Oryctolagus cuniculus: one gene and its partner. The protein of the gene in region 1 purifies or fractionates together with the protein of each later gene. This does not show direct contact. Links are inferred from orthologs where the notes say so. Each region holds a gene or a part of one and is shown on either strand. Other genes may lie near its edges.

Region 1 (10,643 bases):
TCTCTGCTATGGCCTGGGAAAGCAGTAGAAGATGGCACGAGTCCTTGAGCCCCTGCACCCACATGGGAGACCCAGAAGAAGCTCCTGGCTCCTGGCTTTGGATTGGCGCAGCTCCGGCCATTGTGATCAATTAGGGAGTGAACCAGTGGATGGAAGACCTCTCTCTGTCTGCCTCTCCTTCTCTGCGTAACTCTGACTTTCAAATAAATAAATAAATCTTTTTAAAAAATTAAAAATGAATCTTAATGAAGAATGGGATGGCAGAGTGAGGAGGTGAGACAGGCATGGGGGCAGGAGGGTGGGCATGGGGGGAAGAACCACTACATTCCTAAAGCTGTTCCTATGAAATTTGTATTCATTAAATAAAAGCTTTCTGAAAGAAAGAGAGAGAGAGAGTGAGGGGGAGAGGGAAGGAAGGAGGGAGGGAGGGGGAGGGAGAGGGAGAAGAAGAGAGACAAAGAAAAAAAGGCAGAGTTACAGAGAGAGGAGAGACAGAGAGAAATATCTTTAATCCACTGGTTCCTTCCCCAAATAGCCACAACAGCTGGGGCTGGGCCAATCCAAAGCCAGGAGTCAAGAGCAAAGAGTTTCTTCCAGGTCTCCCACATGGGTGCAGGGGGCCAAGGACTTGGACCTTCTTCCACTGCGGTCCCAGGTGTACTGCAGGGAGCTAGATCTGAAGTGAAGTAGCCAGGACTTGAACCAGCACCCATATGGGATGCTAGCATTACAGAAAGCCGCTTAACTCACTGTACCACAGCTCCTGCCTCCACATTTCCAACAACAAGCAGGTAAACACTCTAATTACCCCGCTGACAACTGTACAGTACATGGCATCTAAGTAACCTTCTTATAATTATTTCTAACTAGTGCCTTGACAATTTTAGTGTGGATACAAAAGAACAAGGATTAAAATGGAAGGTAACAAAGAGGCGAATACAAGAAACACAAGTTGCATATCTAAGTACCTTTTCCTCAAGGTATCTAGTTTACAATGGAATTTAAAACTGAAGAGGTGTAAGAATCAGAGTAACCTTTCTACTATATCATTCTTACCAACTTTTAAAAAATGTGTTTTATTCTTATGGCAAATGAAGGGAGAGGGTCTCAAGTTAGAGCAACAGGAGAAAAAACAATGTTGAGTAAGATTCCAGAATGATGCTGTTCCCTTGAGTGTCACCTGCCACTGGTAAATTCCAGGGCAAAGATGCAATTAAGGGTTTTCTTCCAGCACCAGCTACGAAATCCTGGCCCCACTTCCTAGGGAGGAACTGTGAAAGTGCTGGTATTCTTACCAACTTTTAAATATTGTATTATATTGTACCCCAAAGTACCAACAAAGCATTCAAGAGGATCAATAATAGATTTAATGGGAGAAATAATTCAGGTTCCTTTCTGATTTTTGACTAGAAAGCATACTTGTTTAGTAGCACTTCTTCATATATATTCAAAAATATTTACTTGGGCCAGCCAGAGTAGCAGGTTAAACCCCCACTTTACAATGATGGCATTTCATACCGGACTGGTGATCCAAAGCTACTTTTTTTTTTTTTTTTAATTTATTTGACAGGTAGAGTTATAGACAGTGAGAGAGACAGAGAGAAAGGTCTTCCTTCCGTTGGTTCACTCCCTAAATGGCTGCTACAGCCAGCGCTGTGCCTATCCAAAGCCAGGAGCCAGGTGCTTCCTCTTGGTCTCCCATGCGGGTGCAGGACCCAAGGACTTGGGCCATCCTCCACTGCCTTCCCGGGCCGCAGCAGAGCGCTGGACTGGAAGAGGAGCAACCAGGACTAGAACCCGGTGCCCATATGGGATGCTGGCGCCGCAGGCGGAGGATTAACCAAGTGAGCCACAGTGCCGGCCCACTACTGGGTTTCTGATCCAACATCCTGCTAATGCTCCTGGGAAAGCAGCAGAAAATGGCCCAAATGCTTGGACCGCCGCCACCCATGTGGGAGACTAGAATGGAGTTCTTGCCTCCTGGCTTTGGTCTGGCCCTGAACTGCTGTTGGGAACATTCGAGGACTGTATCAGTAGTTGGAAGATCACATCACTCTGTCTTTCAAATGAATAAATAAATTTAAAAAAAAATATTTATTGAGGGCCAGCACTGTGGTGTAGCAGATAAGGCTGCCACCTATGGTGCCAGCATCCCACATGGGCACGGGTTCAAGTCCTGGCTGCTCCACTTCCGATCCAGCTCTCTGCTATGGCCTGGGAAGGCAGTGGAAGATGGCTAAAGCCCTTGGGCCCCTGCACCCACGTGGGAGACCTGGAAGAAGTTCCTGGCTTTAGATTGGCACAGATCCAGCCGCTGCAGCCAACGGGGGAGTGAACCAGCGGATGGAAGACCTCTCTCTGTAACTCTTTCAAATAAATAAATAAATCTTTAAAAAAATATTTATTGATCACTGGGGTGCAGGCACTACGCTATGCAGGCAATGAGAGCATAAACAGCTTATAGTCTTTCAGGGGAGAAAGACAATCATATAATCACAAAAATCCATAACTGTGATACATTAAGTGATGAGGGAAGAAGACAGTACTGAGACAGCACACATCAGAGGATCTAATGCAATCTGGGGAATCAGGTGTGATCGCTATGAGCTCAATGTTCAAATCCTTACCTATGCCACTTACTAATCTGGGTAAGTTACTCAACTTTCTAAATCTGTTCTCTCATCTATAAAGATAGATCATGAAAGTTATCAACCTTATAAGTATTAAATGAAAAAATTCCTGAACCAGCTGGCATCCTGTCTGTTGCATGATTTCTTCAGTCTGGGTTAGCTATCTCTACCTCTGTTCCCATAAGACTTTCTGTGTGCCGGCACCACAGCTCACTAGGCTAATCCTGCGTCTGCGGCGCTAGCACACCAGGTTCTAGTCCCAGCTGGGGAGCCGGATTCTGTCCCGGTTGCTCCTCTTCCAGTCCAGTTCTCTGCTGTGGCCCGGAAAGGCAGTGGAGGATGTCGCAAGTGCTTGGGCCCTGCACCCGCATGGGAGACCAGGAGGAAGCACCTGGCTCCTGGCTTCGGATCAGCGCGATGCGCCGGCCATAGCAGCCATTTGGGGGTGAACCAATGGAAGGAAGACCTTTCTCTCTGTCTCTCTCACTGTCTATAACTCTCTCTCTCACTCACTGTCTATAACTCTGTCTCTCTCTCACTCTATCTCTGCCTGGCAAAAAAAAAAGACTTTCTGTGTATCTCTGTGTTTCATCACTAGAAATATCCACCTCACTGCAGTGCAGTCATCTATCCTCACACAGCACCATCACAAACTTTGAGGCAGGGCCCACGGATTTAACTTCTTTCATCCCAACTTCCCAGTAACTGTCCAGCTAACAGGGGCTCCTTAAAGATAGAAAATAGCTCACTCGATACTTCGCACTCATCATCCTGATGTCCCTACAGTCGTGTCATCTTTCCCTAAAAAGACATTGCAGGAGCTTTACCTTTGCTATTCCTTCTACCATGACATAGTCTATTTACTTACTAAAAGCAATTTTCCTTTACAGCAAACTCTTCCCCAACTTTTTAGCAGCCTGCATTTAGCAGCGCATCTCTTTGCTCAACTAATTACACCTTCCTAAAGTTGTGACCACCTTGTCCAAAAAAGCCACTTGATTCCAAACTTGGAGTCACCCTCCAACCCTTTACTGTCTTCCCAGTACCTGGTACCTGAAATGGCATTATTGATTTGTTTCACTCATATAACCAGAAGGCAAGCTCTGCACAGATAGGAATGCAAAAGTATAGGAAAAAGTTTCTCACTCATCAACCAATACAACACACCCAACACTTCTGACACCAGATGTGGGGGGAGTTTCCAGACATTCAGGTAATGTCCAATTCAATTCAATTCTGACAGATCCTGAGGGCTGTCTTGCAAGACTGCCACACTTCAGATACCAATTTCAAGTGTGCTCAGGGTATACTCCTCACCCACGAGGTATAAACTGGGGTTCCACAACTCCCTCCTTGAGTTCAACTGGCTAGGCCAGCTCACAAAACTCAGGGAAACGTTTACCGATTTATTATAGAGGACATTAAAAGTATACAAATAGCATATGAAAAGCAACACAGTTGCTAAGACTGGCCACTTAAAGACTGCATTCTGCCATTGCGATTTTAAGCACACAATACCCTCAACATCCCTGGTATTTTCCCTGCATATCCACTTCAAATTCTAACTTTTTCTCTTGACCCTACTTGTCTATGTCACAATGCCTCGCACCTACCTGTAACAGTTTCTAAAGCAAACTCTTTGATCCACGCAGTTCTCTTCATCTAATTGCTTTTTGCACTAAGACTATCATCTATGTAAATGAGCACTTTGATAGTTGTATGCCTTGGGCCCCATCTGCGTTGCAGCTAAAGACAGATCTCCTGGATACGTAACGCCTGAATACAGCAAGGCACTCAACGTCATTCCCAAAAGAATGGTCGCGTAAATTTTTTTTTTTAAATTCAGTGTCATCGGCCTGGCTGAAGACGCTTGAGGAGAACCAAGCATGGTCAGGGAGCTCAAGCTCACGCCCTAAAATGACAGCTTCCTTTGCAGCCCATTTTTTCACACTCGACTTTTCCAGATGAGTTCGCGGGGAAAGTTTGCCTACTTAGACCGGGCAGCCAGGTCACGCATAGGGAATTATGTAACTTCTCGGAAGCTCCCGCTTAGAGCATCTTTTTCTCCTAAAGGAAGGGAGCGCTTGGCCTTTGGTTACCAAGGCAACCGGGCACAGCAGCGCTCCAAGGTGGTTCGATTTCACCGAAGAAATTCTAAGGTTCAAAGTTAAAAGTGCGGAGCGCTGGCGCCTATGGGGACACAGCGGCCCCCACTGTGGCTAACTGAAGACTCCCCGATCAGTTCCGGATCCCCCTTTTCGGGAAGCTTTGTTCGGGGCGACAGAGTGGATAGAGAAAAGGAGAGAGCCAGAAGCGAACAACGGCCGGAGCGTCGCGCAGTCGCGTCCCGCGCGCTTCCCTCCGCCCGCGTAGGCAAGCCCCGCTCCCCACGGTGCCATCGCGTCCCGCGGAGCCGCCGACCCCAGGGCGCGCGCTCCACACACCCGCAAGGGGCTTCAGCGGAAAACACGTGCCGCTCTCCAGCTTCTGCGGTCCCGCCGAGGGTTTCGGCCTTGCCCAGGGGCCGAATTCAACCCAAGGCCGCTCAGGAAAGACCCCAGCGTCGGGGAGGCCTAGCCGCCGCGGCGACCGGCGGGAGGCCCTCGCCAAGCTCTCGGCTCTCTTCTTCCTGTGTCCTAAGCCAGATCCCTGGCTGGAGACGACGGGGCAGAGACATGAAAAAGAGGGGCACTACCAGACCCTTCCGTATCAAGGACCCAAATCAACAACCCACCTGGTGAGCGCCATCTTCTTCCGCTTCTTCTAACGCGAGCGACAGCGCCGCGGGGCGGGTCTTTCCCGGCAACCAGGAGCGAAGAGGGCAGAACCCGCGATGCGCAGGCGCCGCCGCCGAAAAGCCTTCTGGGACTTGTAGTTGTTTAAACGTGAGTACAATTCGGGTCTCTTCTGACCCGTGGGGTTTTACAGGACGGCCCCTGAAGTCAAGAGTAAATGGCTAACTTGATTACTCGTTTACTGTCACATGACAGGACATTTCCTTGGCTAAATAACGAGGGTGGGGGGAGAGGCATTTTAAACGCCTTTATTTTATTCCCCCGCTCAGACCCATTCACCTAGAAGAGGTGTCTAAGTATAAGAGGCTGCCCGAAGCAAGTTGAGTGGAGGACAATGGGGTTTCTGAAACGGTAGGAAATCGTGAGACCGGAGCGTTCTTGGACGCTCTGAGAACATTCACAATCAGAAAACTGTTCTTGAACCAGTACCCTTTCTTCCCCAAACACTCCTGGGGATTTAACTGGGATAGTTCAAACCGTTGGTAGAAAAAAAGGGAATTAAAATATAGTTATTTTATGCACCAAAAAAAATTGAAATTTAGACAGTTTTTTTTATAATAATATACATTTTCCATGAACCTCTTGAAGACCCACTGTATTTTTGTGTTCTTTAGCAAGTCACTTTGAGAATATTCCTTATGTGTATAAATATATATGTATATACCTACATACATTATATATATATGATTTAATATATTCAGTAAGATTTATAGGAGGCCATTCATTTGGACTGAGCTTCTGAACAAAGACCTGTCAAAAGTCAAAACTGTGACAGATTTAGTTTGAAGATCTAATCAGGGTTCAGCACTGTGGCATAGTGGGTTAAGCTGCCACCTGCAGTACAGGCAATGCCGGTTCAAGTCCCAGCTGCTCCATTTCCAATCCAGCTCCCTGCTAATGCACCTGGGAAAGCAGCGGAGTTTGGCCCAAGTGCTTGGGACTCTGCACCTACGTGGGAGACCTAGAAGAAGCTCCTGGCTTTGGATCGGCCCAGCCCCAGCTGTTATGGCCATTTGGGGAGTAAACCAGCAGGTGGAAGACCTCCCTCTCTGTCTTTCCATCTCTCTCTGTAATTCTGCCTTTCAAATAAAAAATAGATTATTTTTTCAAAAAAAGATTTAATTAGCTTTTAGTTTTGATTAGCTTTTAGTTTTTTTTTTAAGGTTTTATTTATTTAAAAGGCAGAGTTACAGAGAGGCAGAGGCAGAGAAAGAGAGGTCTTCCATCCACTGGTTCACTCCCCAGTTGGCCGCAATGGCTGCAGCTGCGCAGATCCAAAGCCAGGAACTAGGATCTTCTTCCCAGTCTTCCACGCAGATGCAGGGGCCCAAGGACTTGAGCCATTTTCCACCGCTTTCTCAGGCCATAGCAGAGAGCTGGATTGGAAGTGGAGCAGCCAGACTCGAACTGGAGACTATATGGAATGCCGGCACTACAGGTGGCGGTTTTACCCGCTATGCCACAGCGCCAGCCCCAGCTTTTAGTTTTGATTCTAAAATCTGGCAACACTTCATTCCATAAAGTAAAATGAGTGTTCTGATGAGCAGTTCAGAAGAAGCTGGCTTTCTAGACAAAAAAGGGGCTGAAGAAAGCAGAAAGGGGGAACAAAAAGTGCATTGGTTGCATCATAGTTACTCTCCCTGTGAAAGTTAAACAGAGGGACGTCCCTGTGCTTCTTTCTGCTGGCTAAAGCTGTGTGAGGATTTTTTAAAAATATTTTATTTATTTATTTGAGAGACAGAGTTACAGACAGAGGGAGAGACAGAGAGAAAGGTCTTCCATCTGCTGGTTTGCTCCCCAAATGGCCACAATGGCCGGAGCTGCGCTGATCCGAAGCCAAGAGCCAGGAACTTCTTCTGGGTCTCCTACGCAGGTGCAGGGGCCCAAGCACTTGGGCCATCTTCTGCTGCTTTCCCAGGCCATAGCAGAGAGCTGGATCAGAAGTGTAGCAGCCAGGACTAGAACCAGCACCCATTTGGGAAGCTGGCGTTGCAGGCGGAGGATTAACCTACTGCGCCACGGGGCCGGCCTCGTTGCGTGAGGATTTGACTATTATCTCTTGATCTCTCAGATAAATGAATGATGATGTGAAGTTTCAGCATGAGTAACTCTATTTTGGTTTTTTGAACCTAGTACAGGAGCTAAATCCAAAGCAATAGCCTACTCTACATTTTATTTAATATTCCCAACAGGGGGTGGCGCTGTGGCACTGGCATTCCATATGGGCACCTGTTTGAGACCCAGCTGCTCCTCTTCTGATCCAGCTCCCTACTAATGTACCAGGGAAAGCTGCAGAAGGTGGCCCAAGTCCTTGGGCCCCTGCAGTCATGTGGGAAACCCAAAGGAAGCTTCTGGCTCCTGGCTTTGGATTGGCCCAGCTCCAGCCATTGCAGCCATGTGGGGAGTAAACCAGTGAATGGGAGATCTCTTTCTGTCTCGCCTTCTATCTTTCTGTAACCCTGCTTTCAAATAAGTAAATAAATCTTAAAGAAAAACACAACAGTCCCAACTGATCAAAATGGATTCATTCAGGCTAACGTTCCCTTCCGTTAAGGTGGAACTAAGCTGTAGTATGGATTTAAACTGCAGCTTCACCACCCATAAGCAGTGTTACTACCATGAGCAATATTTTTGGGCCCCAGTTTCATTAAACATAAAATACCATTCATGTTCCATATATACTATAAAACTAGTGACTGGGAGGTGTAAGTGATAGAGGTGGGTGTATTTTGTGTTTTTACTCAACTGCAAAAGTTTTACATAAATTTATTACTTCTTACAGTTCGTGTTTGAGTTGGCAGTGATCTGCTGTAACCTCTGCTCCCAGAATGTATTATTGCTAAACAGAGAATAAAAGAGGAACAGATTAGAGGAGGTCCTGGAAGCCAAGGTCAAGGAGCTTGGATTTAATTTAGCAGCTGACTTGAAACTGAACAAGGACTTAAGAAACAGGCAAGAAAGAGGATTCTTAAGGAGGAGTAGGTTTCTATGGCAATGAGAGACAAGGTAGGCCACTGAGGACAAGGGTAAAGTAATTAACGTGGGAAATCAGCGATCCGTGGACCAAGATCTGGGGTATAGGACTGAAAGAAAGCAGGGGAGAAGAGTTCTCCCAATCCATGCTCGTTTTCCACAGAGGCGACTGTGCAAGGCGTTCCCATCAGTCGTGGTCCCTCGCTGTTCTTGGGAGTGTAGAGAAATGTGACTGACTCAAATGCAATCTTAGCACAGCATAATTAAGGAAACACATCTGCTGCCAAAGTGCTATGATATTGTACCCCAGGGCCCCTGCTTTGTTTGGTTTTGTGCTGGAGAGGGGCTTGGTGTTCAGCTGGATCTTTCTTGCCCTTCCAGCCCTCATTATCACAGGTAATTGTGCTTGCTGGCTCAAAATAGGCTCATGCAGGCCCAGGTTGCAAGAAGCAATCAATTCACTTTGTCTTGGCTATCCAGAGAGCAGCTGGAGTTGGTTCTCAGAGAACCTGGGGCCTAACTTGATTTCCAGCTAGCTGTAACTGTGCAGCCACAGGTAACAGCACATGGGTGGTAGGGTGGAGCAGTTAGACAGAGATTCTGAAGTCAGCTTTCCTGAGTTCCCATCTTGGCTCCCTCATGGACAAGTTGTAGATCCTGGGCAAGTCCCATAATCTGTATCAGTTTTCTCACTGGCAAGAAAAACAACCCAGAAATGGGAGGCAGGGGGCTGAGGTGGGTGTTTGGCCTAGCAGTCAAGGTGTTGCTGGGTATTGTGATGCAGTGGGTTAGGCTACCACGGGGAACACCTGCATTCCATATCGGAGTGCCTGGCTCAAGTCCTGGCTGCTCTGTGCTTCTTGTACCAGATCCCTGCTAATGCACCTAGGAGGTAGCAGGTGATGGCCCAAGCACTTGGGTTCCTGCCACCCAATGGGAGACCCAGGTGGAGTTCCGGGTTCTTGACTTCAGCCTGGCCTAGCCCTGGCTGTTTTGGGCATTTGAGGAGTAAACCAGCAGATGAGGTGTTTTCTGTCATTTTCACTGTCTCAAATAAGTAAAATAAATAAAATTCTTTTTTTTAAGTGAGAAAACATTTAACCTATTCTCATAAATTTGTTGGATTAGTTGAGTTAATCATGTATGGTGCTTTAGAACAACGTCCAAGATAGAGTGAGCACTCAAAAAATAATTATGATTTTCTGGCTTTAATTTAATTGACTTGAACACAGTTTATTAAGCTTCTTGAGCTTCCCATTTTGCATCTCTAAGTGAAGCAATTGAAGTCGATTTTATTTCTGGGGTATGTTCCAAATAACATTCTATTGCATGTGGTGCATGTAAGGAGCTGATCAAAGTAGGATTTCACAAATCACACAGTTCGCTGAACTTTTCTTAGGTTCACAGTGCCTAAGGAGGGGGAGAATAATGTGAGCAAACCTCCCAGGGAATACACTCCGTAAACGAGGCACATTAACCACACACTGAATGAGTTCCAAAATTATTCAAGTCCAATTGCTCACTTTGCGTGGAAAGCAGAGTGTAATTAAAGTTTGAAGCATACCTTTCTATGAGCAGCCTCAGGCGGCTGGCTTGACCTCCGCAGTGGACACGTGAGGTCCCTGCATGCTGGGAGGTGGCACTGGTTTTGGCCTGTGCAGCCTGAGCTCTTTCCATGTGGAGAAGCCAGTGACAGGGCACAGCCCTGCCACTGCCTGAGCTCTCCAGGTGTTGGTCAAACTCTGGACTTTGAAGTTCAGTAGTTGAGGTCAGTAGCTCATGTTCTAGAGAGGCAGGAAGGGGCCCGATGCTGTGTGTAGCAGGTAAAGCCACCGCCTGCAGTGCTGGCATCCCATATGAACACTGGTTCGCGTCACAGCTGCTCCACTTCCGATCCAGATCTCTGCTATGGCCTGGGAAAGCAGTGGAAGATGGCCCAAGTGCCTGGGCCTCTGCACCTGCTTGGGAGACCTGGAAGAAGCTCCTGGTTCCTGGCTTCAGATCGGCACAGCTCCAGCCATTGCAGCCAATTGGGGAGTGAACCAGCAGATGGAGAATTCTTTCTTTCTCTCTCTCTCTCTCTCTCTCTCTCTCAGCCTCTCCTCTCTCTGTGCAACTCTGCCTTTCAATAAATAAAAAAAAACTTTAACATAAATAATAAATAAATAAATCTTTAAAAAAAAAGGAGGAATTCCATCCATGTGTTTACGGTTTGGATATTAGTTTGGGTGATTCCCCAAAGCCT
Region 2 (10,633 bases), on another chromosome or scaffold:
CATTTCATACAGGAACTGAGGGAAGATGCCATGAATATATTATATCGAGCTCCACGATGAACTTGTGTAAGCGTCATATATTTCCCAGGTAGCTTCACACCTGGAGAGGCACCACACTGAGCTCATAAAGGAGACCAAAAACTAGAAAGGGCTTTCTCTTCTGCCACAAATCACAGCTGGAGAGATGGCCAGGCACTTCTGTCTCCCTCCCTCCACGTTTCTCCTTTCAGGCAAATCTTCTGACCCACTGCCGTTTCATGACAGGTGTTTCTGTGTGGGACAACCCATGTTCACCTGAATATGTGTGTGTTTACTTTCTCAACTTTTAAATACACTTTGTGTCAGCACTTAGAATTTGTATCTTTGTGCATGACAGGGACCTGGAGTTAAAAAATAAATACCCATACTCACCCACATCAAAATCAGGCACTTTGATATGGGATAACAGTATCCCAAGTGTGGCTTAACCTGCTACAACCCAAGACCCAAACCAATTTAAGATATTTAAGAAAGTAATTTAGGACCCCATGCATCTTATTCAACAATGTATCACTTGTACTTGACAATAGTTAGTACTTAGTAGTTCTTAGAATGATGAATATTTGTTGTCAAGGTATAGAAAAAAGGAACCTTACACATAGAAACAATGTTGATCTTTCAGTGGGGCAAATTGACACAACAAAAATTTTACACTCTCATACCTTTGGTCAAAGCAATTCCACCTATAAGAATTTAAATTAAGGGGCCGGGGCTGTGGCATAGTAGGTTAAGCCTCTGCCTGTGGCGCCTGGTATCCCATATGGATGCCGGTTCATGTCCTGGCTACTCCATTTCTGATCTAGCTCACCAATAATGCACCTGGGAAAGCAGCCAAAGATGACGCAAATCCTTGGGCCCTTCCCCTTCCAGGGAAACCTGGAAGAAGCTCCTGGCTCCTGGCTTTGGCCTGGCCCAGCCTTGGCTATTGCAGCCATTTGGGGAATAAATCTGTGAATGGAAGACCTCTCTCTATCTCTCCCTCTCTCTCTCCGTAACTCTGCCTTTCAAATAAAAAAGTAAACCTTTTAAAACAATAAGAAAGGTAAGGAAGGTAAGGGACAGTGTTGTAGCATAATGAGTTAGACCACTGCCTGTGATGCCAGCATCCCACAAGAAGAGCTGGTTCATGTCTGGGCTGTTCCACTTCTGATCCAGCTCCTGCTAATGCACCTGAGAAACCAGCAGAAGACATGCAAAGTGTTCAGGTCCAGCCACCATTTGGGTGACCTGGTTGGAATTCCAGGTTCCTGGCTTTGGCCTGACCCAGCCCCAGTCGTTGGCAGCCATCTAGAAAGTGAACCAGTAGATGGAAAACATCTCTCTCCACCACTGCCACCCCACCCAATCTATAACTCTGCCATTCAAAAAAAAAATTTTTTTTAATCTTAAAAATAAATAAATGAATAAATTTGACAGCTTTTAAAAATTTATTTATTCATTTAAAACATAAAGCAACAGAAAGAGAGAGAGAGAGACAGAGAAAGACACAGCATGATCTTCCATCCACTAGCTCACTCCCTAAAGGGCCACAAAGGCCAGGGCTAGGCCAGGACGAATGATGCCAAGAACCCAAAACTCCACCCAGGTCTCCTACGTGGGCTGCATGGGCCCAAGGACTTTGGTTTGCTGCTTTCCCAGGCATATTAGCAGGGAACTGGATCGGAGGCAAGGCAATCAGAACTCCAACAAGCACTTCAATAAGGAATGCCAATGCCTTAAGTGGCAGCTTAACCTGCTGGGATATAACACCAGCCCCACTTTTTAAACTTCATTTCCTTCCATTTATTTGAAAAGCAGAGAGAAACAGAGACAAACATTCCATCCACAGTTTCATTCCCCAAATACCCACAACAGGGTCTCCCACGTGGGCAGTAGGGACTCAATTACCTACTACCTCCAGGGATCACATTAAGAGAAAGCCGGGACTACAAGTGGACCTAGGACTCAATCCCAGTCACTGTGATATGGGATATGGGTGTTCTAAGCAACATGTTACTACTCTGTCCAACACCCACCTATAAAATTTTTCTTTAAAAATCAGGATTTTAAAGAGGACCAACAACCCCAAAGTAACTACTGGATTCTGGAAACAGTCATGACAGCTGAAAGATAACCCATTATGGGAGAACTGCCAGATCATTCATTAACAAGTTTACTGAAGGTGCTTTGGAGAATACATAGAAACTCTGTCCTTGCTGAACTTACTATATAGGAAATAAGAAAAGACACAATTCAAGGAGCAGGCATTTGGCACAGTGGTTAAGATGCCACTTGTGGGGTTGATGCTGTCGCGTAGCGGGTAAAGCCACCGCTTGTAGTGCCAGCATCCCATATGGACATTGGTTCCAGTCCCAGCTTCTCCACTTCCGATCCAGCTCTCTGCTATGGCCTGAGAAAGCAGTAGAGGATGGCCAAAGTCCTTGGGACCCTGTACCCACGTGGAAGACCCAGAAGCAGCTCCTACCTCCTGGCTTCAGATCAGCCCAGCTCAGGCTCTTCCAGCCATTTGGAGAGCAAACCAGGAGATGGAAGATCTCTGTTTCTCTTTGCCTCTGCCTCTCTGTAACTCTGCCTTTCAAATAAATAAACTGATTTATTTATCCCCAAATCGTCTATTTTTATCATAATAAAAGGGAAAAGCCATAGAAAATCTTCAAGTTAGGAAGGCAGCTATGAAGTTCCTCTTCAGTTTCACAATATCCCATCTGGTGCTGTCAGACAGAACGATTCTCTCCCAATAACAATGGTGTATTCTTTACAATCAGAGTAGGTATCAGGGCCAAAAACAGAAGAAAGTCAAGCTGGCTGAATAATCAGAGACAGTCAAGAATTCCTAATCACACCAAAGGGTGTCCCAATCTGGATTCTACCAATTTTTTTTTTTTATATATTTATTTATTCGGAAGGCAGAGAGAGAGGTCTTCCATCCTCTTGTTTACTCCCCAAATGGCTGCAACAGCCAGAGCAAGGCTGATCCGAAGCCAGGAGCCAGGAGCTTGCTCCAGGTCTCTCACGCAGGTGCAGGGGCCCAAGGACTTGGGTCATCTTCCGCTGCTATCCCAGGCCATAGCAGAGAGCTGGATAGGAAGTAGAGCAGAAGGGACTAGAACTGGCGTCCATATGGGATGCCGGCACTGCAGGCGGAAGCTTTACCTGCTACATCACAACATCAGCCCCTGGATTCTGCCCATTTCTTACTTTACAGGAGCTATATCTAGCTTCACAAACTCTCTTCCAAGAGCTTAAAAAAAAAAAGCTCAAAACCATCATCCCAAAGTAAAGCCTAAAACAAATTTATTCAAAAGCATAACCTTTTTCTTTTTACAAAATAATGAAATCTCTGATGAGCAAACCATATAAAGTGTTCCTCAAGCTTATCACCATTACCTTGGAATGTTTTCAAAACAAATACAGCCTTAGTGGACTACCACTATGCATTCACTTCCAAGCTACTTATAATAATCTTAAATAGGACCATTTCAGTTAGCAAAACTGAAAGTAGCATAATTTACAATCTGTCCAGGAGGGAAAAAAAGGTCTTTTACTGCTAACATCTTCTTTGTTCTGTTCTTAAAATTCATTTCTCGAGGCATTACCACATTTTGTACATTCCAGATCCTCTGGGCATTGATTGGAGTTTTGTAAAAGGCTTGTGAAAATCTAAATTACTTATATTCATTTGCTTTCCTGTGACATTATTTTGCCACTTTGAACGCTCTACTGAAATATGATTTCCACTTTAATGCCATCCCCCACAAAAACATCTTTACACGTTTGATAATCTATTTCATTACTAGAGAACCTACCTACTGTAAGGGTGCAGAAAACTACATTTCATAGGAAAATGGGAAAGCTGTATTCATAGCAACAGTGTGACACAGAATGAAAGTGAGCAGCAGAGTTCTCAAGTTCAAATCCCAGCTCAGTGGCAAAGACCAACCTGAAGAAACAGGTATGTAGAAGACTCACGAAGCGAACACCACATAAGAAAAGTCATACTCACATTTCGATGAAACTGAGTGAAGGATTGGATCATGTAGAATCGATGCACATATACTATAGCGGTGTTGATGGTCAGTTGCGAGCTGAAGTGCTCCAGTGAAGGCAAAAACAAGCAGGATACTTCCAGAAAACATAACATCTGGCCCCTTCCAGAAAGACCAGAAGACCAAGCATGATAGATGCCCTTAAAGGAAAACCTACTTACCTCTCCAAATCAGAAAGCAGCCCATTCTCCTCCGCCAAATTATTAACTGCCAACTGGCACTGACCACAATGCCTTCCACATTTACTTACACAAGTACTCACTACAAATTCACCGAATTACTAAGTTTCTCGGGCTGTGTGGCTCAATATGGCTTATAAACAAAACTATGTAATGAGCTCTTAAATGCTTTCACTCACCTTCTGAACACCCTGCAAAGATGATGCATTAGCTCGGGGTATCTCTTTAATCATCATTTACAAGGTCCTCCCTGATGCAGCCATAGCCCTGGGGAATATGTCACCACTATCTCCCTCAGCTTCTACACCCCAGCAATTAAGTTTACAGTTCCACCTCTCTCTGGTCACAGAGCAACCCCTGGGACTACCATTTTTCAAAAGGCCTGATATTCATTCGCTGAAAATAAAACTGTTTTCATGTCTTACATCTTAAGGCCGTCCCAAACAACATGAGATACAGAAATGTCACTTAGCAACAAGGTGAATAACACACATATAAAAAGTTTCAAGGATACACTGAAAACCGGATCTCAGACAACATGATTTAGCTCTGTACAGATCAGATGCTTAGGAAACAAATTTGATACGGAAAACAGGCTGGCAACAGAGGGCAACCCCTGCATTTCAGACTGGGCGCACCCCCACAAACACGACCAATTACATGGAAGCTGCACTTCAGAAAAAAGTTTTCAGCCCACGACAGAAGCAGCTTGAAAACGACATTCTTCCCTCCGACGCAAAACAAACGTCTTCCGACAAGCAAATACATTCGGGCGGAAAAACAAAGCACGGAATTCGCTCAATTTTGAATTACGAAAGGAACGAATACACACTCAAACTCGGCGTAGCGTTAAGCACCCAGAATCTCGCAAACGGTGGGAAACATGAGATCCACAGCTCTACGCATCCCCTACACACCTAATCTGCCATCTTTTCCTTCCTCAGAACTTCTAACAGCGCCCCCTTCGACGTCTGGCCCCCAAGCACCGTGGTGGACACGGAACCGAGGCGGGCCAGGACGGAGGAAGCCTCTGACCAAGTTAAATCAGCACGCGGGAGTCACAGATTCGGAACCACTGCTTGGACACGAATTCTAAGCCACCTGTGCAAGGCTTTCGGGTACTGAATCGCTAACACGCCGAGTTTAAGGGGGACAGGCGTCAACAGTGAACCCTCCACCAGACCCCGAGGGCGTAAGGGAAAGAACAAGCTCAAAGGCAGCCGGCAGACCACGAGAACCGGTGGAAACACAAAGCCGGGAAGGGCCTGCATTCCCGGCAAGGGTGAGCAAGCGGGAAACGAACTCCGCCTCGCTGCCCTGGCGCCAACCCCGACTTTCAACCCGCCCCGCGGCGCGCTCGCTCACCTAGCGCTCCGGCTCCTGCCCACCTCCCGTCCCCGCCCCGAGCCCGGCCGGCACCGACTCCCAGGCCCGAAGGCCTAGGCCGCAAGGATACACGAAAAGACGTTGACCCATGTCCTGAAGCAGATTGGCCGCCTGCTGGCGATAAGAAAGTTCCTTATCGGGGTCCAGGCCACACCGGCGGGATGGGCTGTTCTCCAGCTGTTCTCGAGTAAAATACCACCGCTTGTTGCTGTTCTTCCTCTCTCCCTCCATAGTGCTACAACCAGAAGGCAGCAGCAGAGGCTGCGAGCACTTCCCAGCGTCACCTACGCGGCGACACACATCCGCCGTGCGGGGGCAACTGCGACGTGACGAGTTTCCGCTAGGATTCGACGGCCGGCTTTGTGACACGCTTCCGCCGACGAAGCGGAAGTCTGAGCGCCCACTTCCGGAATGGCCCTCGCGACGCTCCGTAGCCGGCTGTGCAGCTTGCGTACCGCCAGGAAAGACCTTGAAGAGAGGGCGCAGGCGCCGGTCACGTGACCCCACCCCCACCCCACGCGCCGAGTAGGGCGGAGTCATACGTTTACGTTTAAAAACCGCGTCTCTTCCCGCGAGAACTGAGCTCGCGATGGTTGTTTGCGGGGGGGAGGGGGGTGCTGCGAGGCAGTTCCTGGGACTATTATGGTGGCGGCTCACGGCCACGTGCCGCTTGGTGGGTCCTACGAGAACTTTGCTCCTGGCTGAAGTGGCGACGTAAAATGGGACGGTGGCAGAGCTTTGTAGAATAGGTGAGAAGCGAAGAGCGTAGCCGCTATCGTACCGCGGAGATGTAAAGCCAGCAGAGGCGGGCTTTTTTTTTTTTTTTGACAGGCAGAGTGGATAGTGAGACAGAGAGACAGAGAGAAAGGTCTTCCTTTGCTGTTGGTTTACCCTCCAATGGCCGGCGCACCGCGCTGATCCGATGGCAGGAGCCAGGTACTTCTGGTCTCCCATGGGGTGCAGGGCCCAAGCACTTGGGCCATCCTCCACTGCACTCCCGGGCCACAGCAGAGAGCTGGCCTGGAAGAGGAGTAACAGGGACAGAATCCAGCACCCTGACCAGGACTAGAACCCGGGGTGCCGGCGCCGCAAGGCGGAGGATTAGCCTAGTGAGCCGCGGCCGGCCTGAGGCGGGCTTTTTTTAATATTGCTGGTGGGTGCCGAGCACTGCCACTCGTTTGAACATCCCCCTCCTAATAAGTAGCCCAAACCCGTGAGAACAGGAGCAGTGGTGCCCCGGGAAGGTGTAGCGTGAAGTTAGCAGCACTCACTCAGTGCTTGCAGGTCCCGAGCACGATGCTGACGTCTCCGTGTACCGTATGCCTTCGTCATCGTCATTCTTAGTAATATTTAATTCCCGTGTGCAGAAGGTTTCAAGCGGCACCCCTCGAGGCGGGAGGCTCCCACCACCACCCGCCATGGGCGCAAACTTGGGCCTTCCTGTCTCGTGGTGAAGTGGCTCCGACGTCTTGATGCTGGGCAAGATGCCTCATTTCTGACTCTTAAAATATGCAATTGTTAGTACCTACGTTTTAAGTATCAGGTTGTGAACGGCAGTAAATGAGAATTTTTTTTTTTTTTTTTTTGACAGGCAGAGTGGACAGTGAGAGAGAGAGAGAGAAAGGTCTTCCTTTGCCGTTGGTTCACCCTCCAATGGCCGCCACGGCCGGCGCACCGCGCTGATCCGATGGCAGGAGCCAGGAGCCAGGTGCTTTTCCTGGTCTCCCATGGGGTGCAGGGCCCAAGCACCTGGGCCATCCTCCACTGCACTCCCTGGGCACCTCAGAGAGCTGGCCTGGAAGAGGGGCAACCAGGACAGAATCCGGCTCCCCGACCGGGACTAGAACCCGGTGTGCTGGTGCCGCAAGGCGGAGGATTAGCCTAGTGAGCCGCGGCGCCGGCCAGTAAATGAGAATTTAAGTTTGCACTCGTACTTGAAATGGTCTGTAGGTCTCATTACGTTGCATAGTAGGCGAGAGCAAATGCAGGGACAGTGCTTTCATTTCTGTCCCTCCGGCTCCTGAGTAGTACAGCCCTGGCCCTTAGAAGATACTCAGACCATCAGCAAATAAACGTCCGTGACACCCTGGAGTATACAAACAAGCTGGTGGAATATCAAGGAGCTTGCCTTACATTATACTGCTAATACTTGTAGACTTTTTTTTAAAGATTTATTTACTTATTTATTTATTTGAAAGGTGGTGATAGAGAGGAAGCTGCATCAGAGGCTAAGCAACCAGAATGTCAGTGGCTGGTGCTGAGATGTAGAGGGTAAAACTGCCGCCTGCAGTGCCAACATCCCATATGGGCGCTGGTTCGAATCCCGGCTCCTCCACCACTTCCGATCCAGCTCTCTGCTATGGCCTGTGAAAGCAGTAGAAGTTGGCCCAAGTCCTTGGGTCCCTGCACCCGTGTGGGAGACATGGAGGAAGCTCCTGGCTCCTGGCTTCGGATCAGCTCAGCTCCATCTGTTGTGGCAATTTGGGGAATGAACCCATGGATGGAAGACTTTTCTCTCTCTGCCTCTCTGTAACTCTGCCTTTCAAATAAATAAATCTTTAAAAAAAAAAAAAAAAAAAAAAAAGCCAGCCTCAAGCAGCAGCTAACCTGCCATACCAAAATGCCAGCCCCTAAGTGTAGCTTTTTTTTTTTTTTTTAATTTATTTTATTTGAAAGGCAAAGTTACAGAGAGGTAGAGCCGAGGAGGGGGTCTCCATCCTCTGGCTCATTCCCCAAATGACATTAATGACCAGAGCTGAGGTCTCCCATGTGGGTGCAGGGACCCAAGGACTTGAGCCATCTTCCACTGCTTTCCCAGGCCACAGCAGAGAGCTGGATCAGAAGCAGAGCATCCAGGACTTGAATCGGCACCTTTATGGGATGTCGGCACTGCAGGCTGGGGCTTTAACCCACTGCACCACAGCAGCGGTCCTCTAAGTGTAGATCTTAAAAACAAATTATTCTTTGCATTCTGACAAGCTGCCTTCCTGCTTTTCTGGACCCATACTCAATTTACCTTAAGTTTGCACAGCTTTAGATAAAATTTTAGAATAGAATCCTTTGTTTTGCTTTTATATTTTGGGTTTCATCATTTCTAACATTTGATTCTAATTCATTCTCAGAAGTGTTTCGTTCCATTTGAGGCCCTGCTCTGCTGTATACTGCCCATAATAATTCACTTCAGGTTATAAGCTAAAAGAGCATTTGATTTTAAACTTCTTCTATCACAGACTTTTTTCTTTTAATAGACTAAGCATTTTTTCAGTCATGGAGTCATGTATTGTTTCTTAAACAGCCAAAACTATTTCCCCAGGATTCTTCTTGCCTATTTCTTTGACCTGTGTTTGATTCTCCACTTAACCTCTTGGATTAATGACTCCGTATTGAATTTGCCATTTCTACTGAGCATGCCATTCTTCCAGGAAAAAGTTCTGGTACCTGTCAGGCTCCAGGCAATGCAGCTGCTGCCCATGGCTTGCTACCCTCCCATACAGGACAGGGAGCCTGTCAAAGAAAAGACATATTCTTTTGTCTCAAGATGTAATTATTTCAAGTAGGAAACAATGATAACATAATGCTAAATATGAGTTTGTGAGACAGGCCTGTATTCACATCCCAACTATTCTTCCCACTCTCCCGCACTCCCCGCCCGCCAACCATCTTAACAATTTTAATTGTGCAATTTAGTGGCATCAACTTTATTCACATTGTTGTACAGCAGACCTCAAGAACGTTTTCATCATGCACTACTGAAACTGTACACATTGAACAACTCCCATTTTCCCTTCTAGCCCCTGGCAGCCATCATTCTACTTCCTGTTTCTGTGGTGCTGACAACTTCAGATGCCTCAGATACGTGTATATAGAGTATTTGTCGCCCGTGATTGGCTTATTTCATTTAGTATAAAGTCCTCAAAGATGCCAGCTTTTCTTTTGGTGTGATGTTGAATGATATCTCTGCATTCTGATAGAATACCATCCAGCACATATTAGGTATTCAATGCAAGTTATGTTGTAAACATAACATTAGCCTTCAGATACAGTGCCCTTAAAGAACCACTGACAAATCTTAAGTCACAGGAATTTTCCTTTTTTAAAAAAAATGTCAGTAGGATACAGGCATTGTGGTACAGTGAGTTAAGCTGCCCACGTGCATATTGGAATGTCTGTTCCAGTCATGGCTCCTCTCCTTCCAATCCAGCTTCCTGCTCATGCACCTGAGAAAGCCATAGATGATGGCCCAAGTACTTGGGTCCCTGCCTCCCAGGAGACCCAGATGGTGATCCTGGGTCTTGACTTTAGCCAGGCCCCGTCCTGGTTGTTGCAGGCATTGGGGAATGAACTAGCAGGTAGGAGATCTGTGTGTGTCTGTCTCTCCCTCCTTTACCTCTCCCTCTCTCCCTGTCACTCTCATCTTATTTTGCACTATGCATATGTCATCTTTTAATCATGTCAAACATTACCATTTCTACTCAACATTCATATAGTCTCCATTTAAAATATGAAAGGATGGGGCTATTGGCAACATTCCTCAATTCCATGATAGTTTAAAATCAACAGCACTGTGGTGGGGCCAGCATTGTTGCACAGTGAGTAAAGCCGCTGCCTGTGATGCTGGTATTCCATATGGACACCATTTAAAGTCTCATCTGCTCTGCTTCCAATCCAGCTCCCTGCTAATGTGCCTGGGAAAGCAGCAGAAGATGGCCCAAGTGCTTAGGCCCTTGCATCTATGTGGGAGACCTGGACAGTGTTCTAGATTGCTGGCTTCAGCCTGGCCTAGCCCTGGCTGTTGTAGCCATTTAAGGAATTAAACCAATGGATGAAGATCTTTCTTGTGCTCTCTCCCCTTCCCTCTCTGTAACTCTGCCTTTCAAATAAGTAAATCTTTAAAATCAGCTATGGTATTTGTATGTGTTGGTAACTTATTAATTGTCCATTAAAAATTATATATATATATGCATCTACGTTCATTTTAAAATC

The links. The genes of interacting proteins can lie anywhere in the genome.
Region 2: the proteins of SNW1 (region 1) and CCNT1 purify together in Homo sapiens (affinity purification with western blotting; 3 studies listed by BioGRID and IntAct, with this or other methods). This does not show direct contact. The link is inferred for Oryctolagus cuniculus from reciprocal best matches to the Homo sapiens genes SNW1 and CCNT1.

The regions. Positions count from the first base shown.
Region 1 is NC_091451.1:23,447,813-23,458,455, forward strand, and holds the start of SNW1 (SNW domain-containing protein 1), read right to left. Parts: upstream 5,493-10,643; 5' UTR 5,379-5,492; coding exon 5,365-5,378; intron 1,287-5,364; exon of another isoform or gene 1,160-1,286; intron 1-1,159. UniProt on the Homo sapiens protein: Involved in pre-mRNA splicing as component of the spliceosome. As a component of the minor spliceosome, involved in the splicing of U12-type introns in pre-mRNAs.
Region 2 is NC_091442.1:52,209,380-52,220,012, forward strand, and holds the start of CCNT1 (cyclin-T1), read right to left. Parts: upstream 6,019-10,633; 5' UTR 5,882-6,018; coding exon 5,721-5,881; intron 4,125-5,720; coding exon 4,043-4,124; intron 1-4,042. UniProt on the Homo sapiens protein: Regulatory subunit of the cyclin-dependent kinase pair (CDK9/cyclin-T1) complex, also called positive transcription elongation factor B (P-TEFb), which facilitates the transition from abortive to productive elongation by phosphorylating the CTD (C-terminal domain) of the large subunit of RNA polymerase II (RNA Pol II).